Arabidopsis thaliana: one gene and its partner. The protein of the gene in region 2 interacts with the protein of the main gene of each other region in a pairwise test. Each region holds a gene or a part of one and is shown on either strand. Other genes may lie near its edges.

Region 1 (4,444 bases), on a different chromosome or scaffold from region 2:
CGATCCAAGAGGAAGCAGCATGGTGGAGGTTCTTCTGGAAATAATAATGGTGAGTCTGAGGTAGAGACTGAAGTTGAAGCATTGAATGAGAAGAGAGTAGTGAGGCCAGAGAGTCTTCTTGGTCTTCCAGATGGAAATAGCAACAATAATGGGTTAGGGACAACAACAGCAACAACTACTGCTCCTAGGCCTGAAGATCTTTGCTTTCAGAGCCCTGAGATTAGCTCAGACCTTCACTTGCTAGATGTTCTATCAAACCCAAGTAAGTAACAAAGATACCTTTTTAGTTCACACGTAACTGAAAAAAACAGAGACATTGGCTTTGAAGAAATAGTCAAGTAAGTTGTGTCTGTCTCAGATAATTTCTTGTGATTTGTGTTTGTAGGGGATGAGCATCTTGTTGGAAAGATGGGACTGGCGGAAAGTTACAACCTTTATGATCATGTTGAAGATTATGGCATGTCAGGCTGATTGAATACAAGCTGAGGAAACTTCTAATTATCAGAGAGATCAATGAAATGGATTTGGTAGTCAGTCATAAGCAGTATTAGACTTTTGTTTTTCTTAAATTGTTTCTTTCAGGGCTTATTAAAGAAACAAGTAGTTTATCTTATTAATCATTTTCAGAGAAACATTTACATGGATTGTTGAATCGTCTTGTGATGCTTGCTTTGATAATTTCTGCATTCAGAACGATTTTTACATCCTTAAATGAATTATACTGTAAGAAATAAAAAAATTCCAAGAGAAAAACATTTCAATTCAAACCTCTCCAGAGTTGAAAACATGCAAGTCTAACAAAGTTTTGTAATGGCCTTTCTCTATTTCTTCCTCATTCACATTGTGTAAGACCAGAGTCTGTATAACCAAATCCTCCCAATCAATTTCAGATCCTTTCTTCCTTTTCTTCTTGCTATGTTCAAGCTCCAAAGACAACGCACCTTCACTAACATTGTCAGAAGGATGTTGTATTGCATTAATCCGCAACTTAGCTGCCTTAATCTTTTCTCTTCGTCTTTCAACTGCAACGCAACCCTTTATGTAAGAAGGAGGCAAAGCTTCAAGCCCTACATCTTTCTCCAACAAGTCTTTGAGCAAAAGCCTTTTACTCAATTCCGATTTCCCTTTCCACCAATTTTCAGTTGACACCATTCCAAAAACAGATCTCCTTTGCCACATACTCTGACTACTTCCCTGACTTCTTTTCGCAAGAGTCCCACCACAAACTCGATCCTCAAATTCATTATACTTTGTAGACAACTGATTCTCCGATATATTATCATCATAGTTACATAAACTAAGCTGACGTTCACCTTCTACATCAAAATACCGAGACATAGTATCTTGACGAGCATCATCATCATAACAATACATAGATTCTTTGCTTAGGCAGTCCATCACTAAATCCTCCACACAAAATCCATCAGTTCTAACTAATTCTTTCCCAGTCCCTTGTTTTCTCTTTTTCATGGACTTGGCTTCCATTAAAGCAAACAAAGTTCCTGAATGTTTCAAAACATTCTTCACAGTAACATCTTTCGCCCAAGGCAAACCCACCTCTTCAGCAACCTTCACAAGCTTCTCAGATAACTCTTTATACCGCGTTTTACAAGTAGTCAACGAAACACTAGCATCTTTCGCCAAATCATCAATCTTTACCTTCACACCATTCACTTGAACAACAAACGCCAAAACAGCCACAACCAAAGGCATTGGTCTCCTCCCCGTCGACAAAAACCATTTCAACGCACAATTCATCAGGAAAGTCCCTTGCTTTATTATCTTCTCCTTCTTATCCCTATCAACATCAGTCAATCTCGGTGAATTAGTAACCGTCTTGGTAAACAAACCCACAAGATCAAACTCTCGCAATTCCAAATCTAGATGATCCACAACACGCTTAATCATAGGCCCTAACTGATGCAAATCACATCCAACTTCATAAGCAACCTCTTCCATAGACAAAACACCTTTCCCTTCTTCTCTTACCACAGCATAACAACAAGCTCCAATCAAAATAGGGAACCACTCACCTTGTCCAAATTCCCCATCAGTAAGCTTACTAATCATACTCTTAATCACTTCAGTTTTATTACCAAGATTCAATCTTTCTGTTGTCTCCTCAATTAAATTGTTGGCTTCATAGATCTTCTTGTCTTTATAATCAAGAACAGAGCCTCTACCAATGGTGCCTACTCGTATATATGTACCTTGAGGTCCTCTTATGCCGCCAAGTTGTGCCTCATAATTATCATACTCTCGTAATGTCCCACATCCACCGCAATACGAATTCCCCGTGTCTTCGTCGCGTTCAAAGTTGCTTCCATTGCATCTCTTGCAACGCATGATTCAAACCGAAAGCTTCACACTTTAAATTACGGGTTTTTTTTTCCGACAAGCAGAAGAATGAGATTCGGATCGCCGGCGAATCGAGAAGTACTGGAGAGAGAAATCAAAACTAATTAAGATTTGACCTTTCCTTAAAAATAAGCTAGGTTTTTATATTGTCGAGATGAAAACGGCATGATGTTAATATGAATAAAACAAAAACGCCAGGGTGTTTTATTTAGGACGCCACACAGTTTGTATTATTTTCTCTCTTTTGGCTTTTTGTTGTCTCCTCCACCATAGTGCCGTCTTTTATCTCTTTACCGGTAAGAGAAGCCGGTTTCAGATTTGATCAATTCGAAGAATTGTGGCTTTCGTTCGTTGGGTGAATCCTTGCTTCGTCCTTTTTGATAGATTGCTACTGTGTTTTCGAGGAAGTTGTGTGGAGATAGTTAGAGAGATTTATGAGATTTCAAGAGGGGTTATTATAACGCACGCATGGTGTTCGACGGAAAGCCGCAGAGAAGTTTTGTTGCTATCCGATTTGACTGAGACTCAAAGTTTGAAAATTGTTACTTGGGTATTGAGAAAGCTAACCTTGGGCAGGTTCGTATATGAGTTGGGAGTAAAACGACGGTGATACATTTGACTGTTTTTCAACTAAACTAGCTTTGAAATGGTGAGCTTGTCTGTTTCGAATAAGAGATACACTTACATACACGAAAGTGGAAGTAAGTCAACTAGAGAAGCCATTGATATTCACCATGTGATTATCAACGGAAGCAGCGGAACTGGTTATGCCCGTCGTTGGGGGCTTGGTTTCTTCCTTGTGTTTCTGGCGAGTTCTATGTACTTTTTGCTTGGAAAGGTAATTATGCTCTTAGAGAAAATTTGGTTGTTGCCGTTTGTTATTTTGATGTGAATCTGCTTGACATTTGAGTGATTCTGATGCATTGCTTAGAACAAGTGTTGCTAGTACATATCATGAGAAAGGCATACCATTTTGTTTCTTAGGATTGGTGATGGAGTATAGTTTGATATTTTCATTCTGTTGTGAGCATTATGTTAATACATGACAAGGTTTGTATAAAAGCACTTTTCTTTTTTTGTGTTACTTTACAAGCTTGTTTTGTTGTTGTTCCATTTGTTTCTTCTTCACTTAAGTTGAAAGGGATAATTCACATGAAACAGGACAATCCAGCTAGAACTCTTTCTTGGGGCTGCCTTTTAAGTGGTTTCTTGGTTATGCTACATAGTCGCAAGTTCGTCAAGAAAGGTGAGATCCTGGTTCATCCTGATACACGCTTTACAGGCTTACCAAATGATATCAGCTTCACGTTTTAACTAATTCTAGCTTTTCTTTGATTTCTTCAGAATCTGTGATAATCTTGCCAACCTTCGGGATCCAACTTGAAACTCAATATTTAAGGTATGCTTTATCCATTTAGTTAGTATTCTGTTGTCTGCACTCCATGATGGCTTAATGCTTTGAACTACTCCGTATTAGTGGTCTCTAAGATAGGTGGTAATGGTTGAATTTGTTGTAATTATCATGAACCATTATGATCTATGCTTTTAAGTTTTACCAATCATACAAGTACCTACTTTTTTGTGCATGCTTCTGCTTTGCAGTGGAAAAACTGTCTCCAGGTTTATCCCTATTGACAAGATTTTGAAGCCTGTGTTGGTCGAATGTGTCACTCCCATTACGTGTTACTGGAGTCTCTCTTTATTTCTTCGTGGTGAAGAACAACTTACATTGGTGTTTAAGGTAATGGCACCAGTTTGTTTCATTACATTGTGAGAGAAAAACTTCTGCTGACAACTTTGAGAAACAATCTAGAGTTACCAATTATTCAATTCGGGAATATTACTTATAGCAATTGATTTTGAGTTCAATTTCCTCTTTGGACAGGAACTGCGTCCTCCATTGAAGATGTTGGTTCCCATTTGGAAAGCATTGTGTGCTGCTATCGGTACAGACCACCAAAGTGAAACGATAGCTGAAGAAGAACATGATGTATCTAGTTAACTGCAGTTGTGATTAGAGAACTTGTAGATTTGTTACTTGTTGTTGGCAGTTTTGTTTGGAAGATGATCACACAATATGTTCTGT
Region 2 (5,032 bases):
CATACATCAATTAACTCGAACTCGAATGCTGTTGACGTTGACAACGTGTAGAGATTTCACAACCACGATTGTAAGAGTATGCTGGAATTTTGACACATTCTTTGGGATTCTTACTGCTGCAACCTGGAATTATGTCTCCTTTCATACCATTATAGTTTATATATGTTTGTCCTTCTCCAAATCCGCTGAACAATGATAATATAATCATTACTGAAACAAAGAAAATGCGGATATGACTCTTTTTGTGTGCAGCCATTGTTTTTTGAGAAAACAAAAACAATGTAATTGAAACTTCTTGATATTTTTCTGTGTTATTATATTTTTGTAGTTTGAATACGTGATTAATTATTAATTTGTGTTTCTTTGATTTATAATGAGAAGGATGATTCTAAAAAAAAGACGGCCAGTGCATAATGTATGTGCTGATAGAGTTTCGTGGCTATTTATATGTCATTTACAGTTTTTTCGGTTAATATGTTCGGTTGGTTTCTAGCATGGCAGCAAATTTATCGGCCACAACAAGACTTTCGTGAATATCTGTGTTGTCGTTAGTGTTTGTTTGTTTCGTTGTTGTAAAAATTGATCTGTTCTGTTGTTTCTTCACTCTGTTCAGTGCTTGATGAATGTGTACGTACGTACATCCATCTACTCTTCAACGTTCACATGTATATTCTAAATTTGAACCGAGCCGAAACCAAGTATATATAAATTTCAATGTTCTTTGTATTAACTTCGATACAAAACCCAAAACTGAACTAAACCGGAACCAAGCCGGTAGAGCTAAACCAATTTAATCTCTTTTCAGGAGAGTTCAGAGATTACTCTTTCACATTTATCTTCCAATATCTTCACTGCTTCGTTGAAAAGAACCTCCGGAGGCTGTGATCCCGTGGACTCAATTGTAACTGCGAAAGATGATAAGAAACTCAATTAGAATCTCTTTCAGTACCATGGAATTGCCAGGTTGAAGGAACTGTGTTTTTCTTTTTCTTTTCTTACATATAAAATGGTTCTTGACACGGCGCAGATCCACTTGGTCCTCCCATTCCACTCCATCTCTTATGCATTCTCTACACAACGAACAATCACGCGGCCGAGCTACTGTTGCCCTCTTCCTACCTGTTTTCCACGTTTGCAAGTCAAATTAATTTGCCGCCAAAGTTCTCAGGTTTCATCAGAATCTCTTATTGTTACTCAAAAGCAAGTAAAGACATTTGAAGGAAACTTGGGAAGGCTTTTACTTCACCTTGGCCCATGTCTTCAATGTCAAAAACTTTCTTGGGGCAGACTTTTACGAGTTCTTCGGCATGTTTACCCTCGAATTCCTTTAGTAGAACCACCTAAGATATTATAAACAAAAAGCATTACCGGAAAAGCCTAGGACGAGTCAAGAAGAAATTAATTAAGTCCTTTTCCCAGAAGGCTTATGGTGAACTTCTCACCTCAGGAAGCATTCGATACCAAGCCGTTGCTACTGGGGACCACTTTGCATGTGTTTTACCAATGCCCTTAACGGCATGAGCCTCAAGCTCGATTTCCTGCAAGAAGAAGATGCAAGTCTTTCATCTCTCAACGGAATTAAGTCCTCAAAAATGTCACAATTAAGGGGAAGAGTATAAATAGAAACAGTACCTGGCCAGGGCCAAGTTTTGCTATCAAGATATCTTTTAAGGTTGGCCTGATAGGATTTTCAGCAAATTCAGGGAAGGAATCTTGGCTATGGTTGAATGAAGTGTAAGTTTTTGGCGTTGTGGTTGAACCTCCAGATTCTTTGATAAGCTCACTTCCATTTGGTAACCATTTCAATTCGCTTGTTAAGACTTCAAGAAATAAAAAAATGATACCTCTCATGAGATCTCGAGCTAACAATAAAACAAAGACTCTTCTTGAGCAAACCAAAGAACATATATTACCTTTACGACGCGGGTCACCTTTTAGACATTTCACATGGAGTTTGAAAACAATGGTGTTCTTTTCATTTGGCTGATCGTTTTCTATGACACAAAGATAAACAACAACAAAACTAAGCGTGACACAAAGAGTTTATATGCTTAATGAGATGGATCACATTCCACAGAATATTTCTTACCAGATAAATATTCAAAGAGTCTCGGATCTGCGGCAATTGGAATAAGACCCAACCTGTGAGCAAGAACTTCGTCTTGAATAACCGATGTGTTGTTTGCTACATACACTTTTTCAATAGCCATTGAAGGAAGCTGTAATCAAAGAAACACTATTAACCAAAGATTCTAATAATCAGAGATTCATCAGAGGTAGTGAGACAGTGGGCAGACCTCAGCTAAGAGGATTCTTCGGAAAGCATTAGCGATTCCTGCATGGACACCGATCATATCGAATACCATATCTGTCTCTGTGAGACTAATCACATCAACTTTGAAATCCTCAGAGAAGTTTTCTAGTCTCACACTGTTGTCCACTCCCATAGAGGAATAGGCACCCGAGAAAGTGATAGCCGTAGGCTACAATAAAACACAAAAAGAAAGGGAAGAACATTAAAGACTTCAAATTTCAAACAATCATCACTCAATATCATTCGGATTTCGACAAACCCACAGTGTAATCTTCTTAAATTGCTAAGACCAAACTCAGTAAATTCACAGCTTTCTACAAGCAAGTTTTAAACTTTACTCTGTAAATCTACACGAAATCGATGAACATAGCAAACCCACATGGGACACACTGAGAAAAGCCAATAAATTTCTAGTTAGCTGAACTTATACATAGCTTAAAAAGAGTGTAAATTTTGATCGAGAATAGTACTTACATGAATATTAGAATCCTTCTTACAGACAACGCGAGTTCGCTGGAGCTCAAGATGCGGAGGAAGTCCGGTAGGAACGTCAGGGAGATCAAATATGTTGAAGTTCTTCGCTTCTCTCTTTTCTTCATCAGTCACAATCCTTGTTACTTCGTTAGTCCCCATCCTTCTCTGCAGCCAAGTTCGATTGTGAGAATCCGAAATCAGGGTTTAAGGAGAAGAGGAAGATGAAAATTGCACGATTTCACTTTTCACTTCAATTTCGTTCTTCAATTTCATAAAACTGGAAAATTAGGGTTTATGGACACGTGTGAATACTAGAAAAAAAAACATCCATTTTTCTAATAGCGGCATGGCTTAAGTCCGAACCGAAGCGGCTGAACCGTCCAACCGGAGTTTGGTTGATTTCTGACTTTTAAAATTTTCGTTACCACCAAACCGAAATTCTAATCTTAAGTCCGAACCAAATCGACATTTTTTTATTTTTTAATTAACCACATATTAGTTAAAAGATAATTATATGATTGGTCGCCGAATATGGAAAAAAAATCTACAAAACAAATTTGAGAAAACAGTAAACGAAAAGAACGAACTAAACAATCTGTCTTATAATTAAACAAATGAGATATATAGAAAATCATGAAACGAGAAATATAACATTCGACATTTTGTTTGATTTTCTACTATATAACTTTTCCAAATATAAGTAGAAATGTCGATTTCTAAACAAACCCGATCTGAATAATCATATTCTCCAAATTTAGTTATGGCAGTTCAAACCCATAATGGTGAAGGTTCTCACTCCAGTATTTTTTTTATTATAGCATACCAAGATAACCAGAAGAATGAGCCAAGAAACTAAACAAAACTAAAACCAAAACTAGTTCCAATCAACTCAAACACGAAAGTAGATAAATAACAAACCACATGTGATTTCAAATTTAGTTTAGTCTAATAAAAAACAAAAAGACTAAACCGGACGACCATACATTGGGTCCCTATCGTAAATTAGCAAACAAATTAGTGTTGCCCATTTTAAAAGTTTGAACTCTTCTTTATTTAAAAAAAGAAGAAGAAGAATTGAACTGGTCAGGAAGAAAAAAATAGAAAAGGAGAAAAAGGACAGAGGGAAAATGGAGAAAAGTAGAGTAAAATGGCGTCACACCAGAGAGAAGGCACAACTCACGGGGAAATCAGCAGAACCAATACCACCGCCACCGGTTACTATTACTATTCTTGTTATCATCATCTCCCAAAAAAAAAATGTTAGTATTATTTTCGAGTCTATTTTTCAAGTTTTTGTTTTGTTTTTAATATCTCGACTTTGCCACCCAACTCCTCCCACTCCTTCACAACTGTGTCCTGTCCTCTGCTGATTTCTCACCTTTCCATCATTCATTTCATTCTTTCTTTTTTCCCATCCGTTTCTTTTATTCTTCTTTCTCCTTAAATTTAAAATCTTTGAATTAAATTATTGGATTTTATTGTTTCAAAGCGTTTCTATCATCAAAACCCATCTTCTTCTTCTTAAGATTCTGAATCATTCATTGATTGATTTAGCTTCTCTTCGACTTCTTAATTTTACAGTTTTTTTTGTTTTTTAAACTTTAATTGATGCAAATAAGCAAACTTGGATCGCTGTGAGCCTGTGATAATGATTTCTTTTAGGTTTGTAGGATCTGAAGGAAGCTACGGTTTATTTTTTTTTATGGGCAATCTCTAACAGGTACAAATCTTCTCTTAGCTTCTCTCTTACAAGATCTTTAGGTTATGTCTTGTTCTTTGGAGTTGCTATCTTTCTTCCATGTTCCAGAGGTTTGCCTTATTTTATCACTTTTGACATAATAATTTATTTTGCCTGTTTTTTGTTACTTGGTTTAATATTCAGATGAATCTTTGACCATGATCTCTAAATTTGGTTCCTAGGCAAGATCAAAGAAAGTTCATCACATAGGAGTTGATCATGAACCATAGTTTCCTCAAAGATCTCAACTTTGTCTCTAGTTGGATTGTAATCTGTATTGCTTAGGACAGTTAAATCTTATTACATCTTGGCTCGTCATGTCAAAAGCTGAAGATATTTGAGCTTTCATATCTTACAACTAATTAGTTTCGTATGTCTACAGGTTTCTTACTGTAATTTTTCTGTTTCAGTTCTTTACGGGTATATATATACACATAAAACGGTTAAGCTCTAGAGAAGATGTTGGGAGGCAACAATGATAACCCTGTGCCGCAGGTTCTAATGAA

What was found.
Region 1: the proteins of RPAC43 (region 2) and AT4G35540 interact in a two-hybrid assay, tested with the Arabidopsis thaliana proteins (one study listed by BioGRID).

Annotation. Positions count from the first base shown.
Region 1 is NC_003075.7:16,871,841-16,876,284, reverse strand, and holds AT4G35540 (POLLEN-EXPRESSED TRANSCRIPTION FACTOR 2), read right to left. Parts: upstream 2,451-4,444; 5' UTR 2,347-2,450; coding exon 763-2,346; 3' UTR 687-762; downstream 1-686. Other genes in the region: WOX13 (WUSCHEL related homeobox 13), read left to right, coding at 1-262, 386-471; AT4G35530 (phosphatidylinositolglycan-like protein), read left to right, coding at 3,005-3,196, 3,520-3,604, 3,703-3,757, 3,961-4,099, 4,244-4,360. UniProt on the Arabidopsis thaliana protein: Plant-specific TFIIB-related protein that plays important roles in pollen germination and embryogenesis, possibly by regulating gene expression through interaction with TBP2 and the subunits of RNA polymerases. Binds double-stranded DNA in vitro.
Region 2 is NC_003070.9:22,329,140-22,334,171, reverse strand, and holds RPAC43 (RNA polymerase I subunit 43), read right to left. Parts: upstream 3,279-5,032; 5' UTR 2,948-3,278; coding exon 2,789-2,947; intron 2,704-2,788; exon of another isoform or gene 2,578-2,703; intron 2,484-2,577; coding exon 2,298-2,483; intron 2,220-2,297; coding exon 2,090-2,219; intron 1,995-2,089; coding exon 1,914-1,994; intron 1,821-1,913; coding exon 1,633-1,820; intron 1,539-1,632; coding exon 1,443-1,538; intron 1,341-1,442; coding exon 1,247-1,340; intron 1,120-1,246; coding exon 1,000-1,119; intron 906-999; coding exon 802-905; 3' UTR 604-801; downstream 1-603. Other genes in the region: RALFL6 (RALF-like 6), read right to left, coding at 11-256; AT1G60610 (SBP (S-ribonuclease binding protein) family protein), read left to right, coding at 4,986-5,032.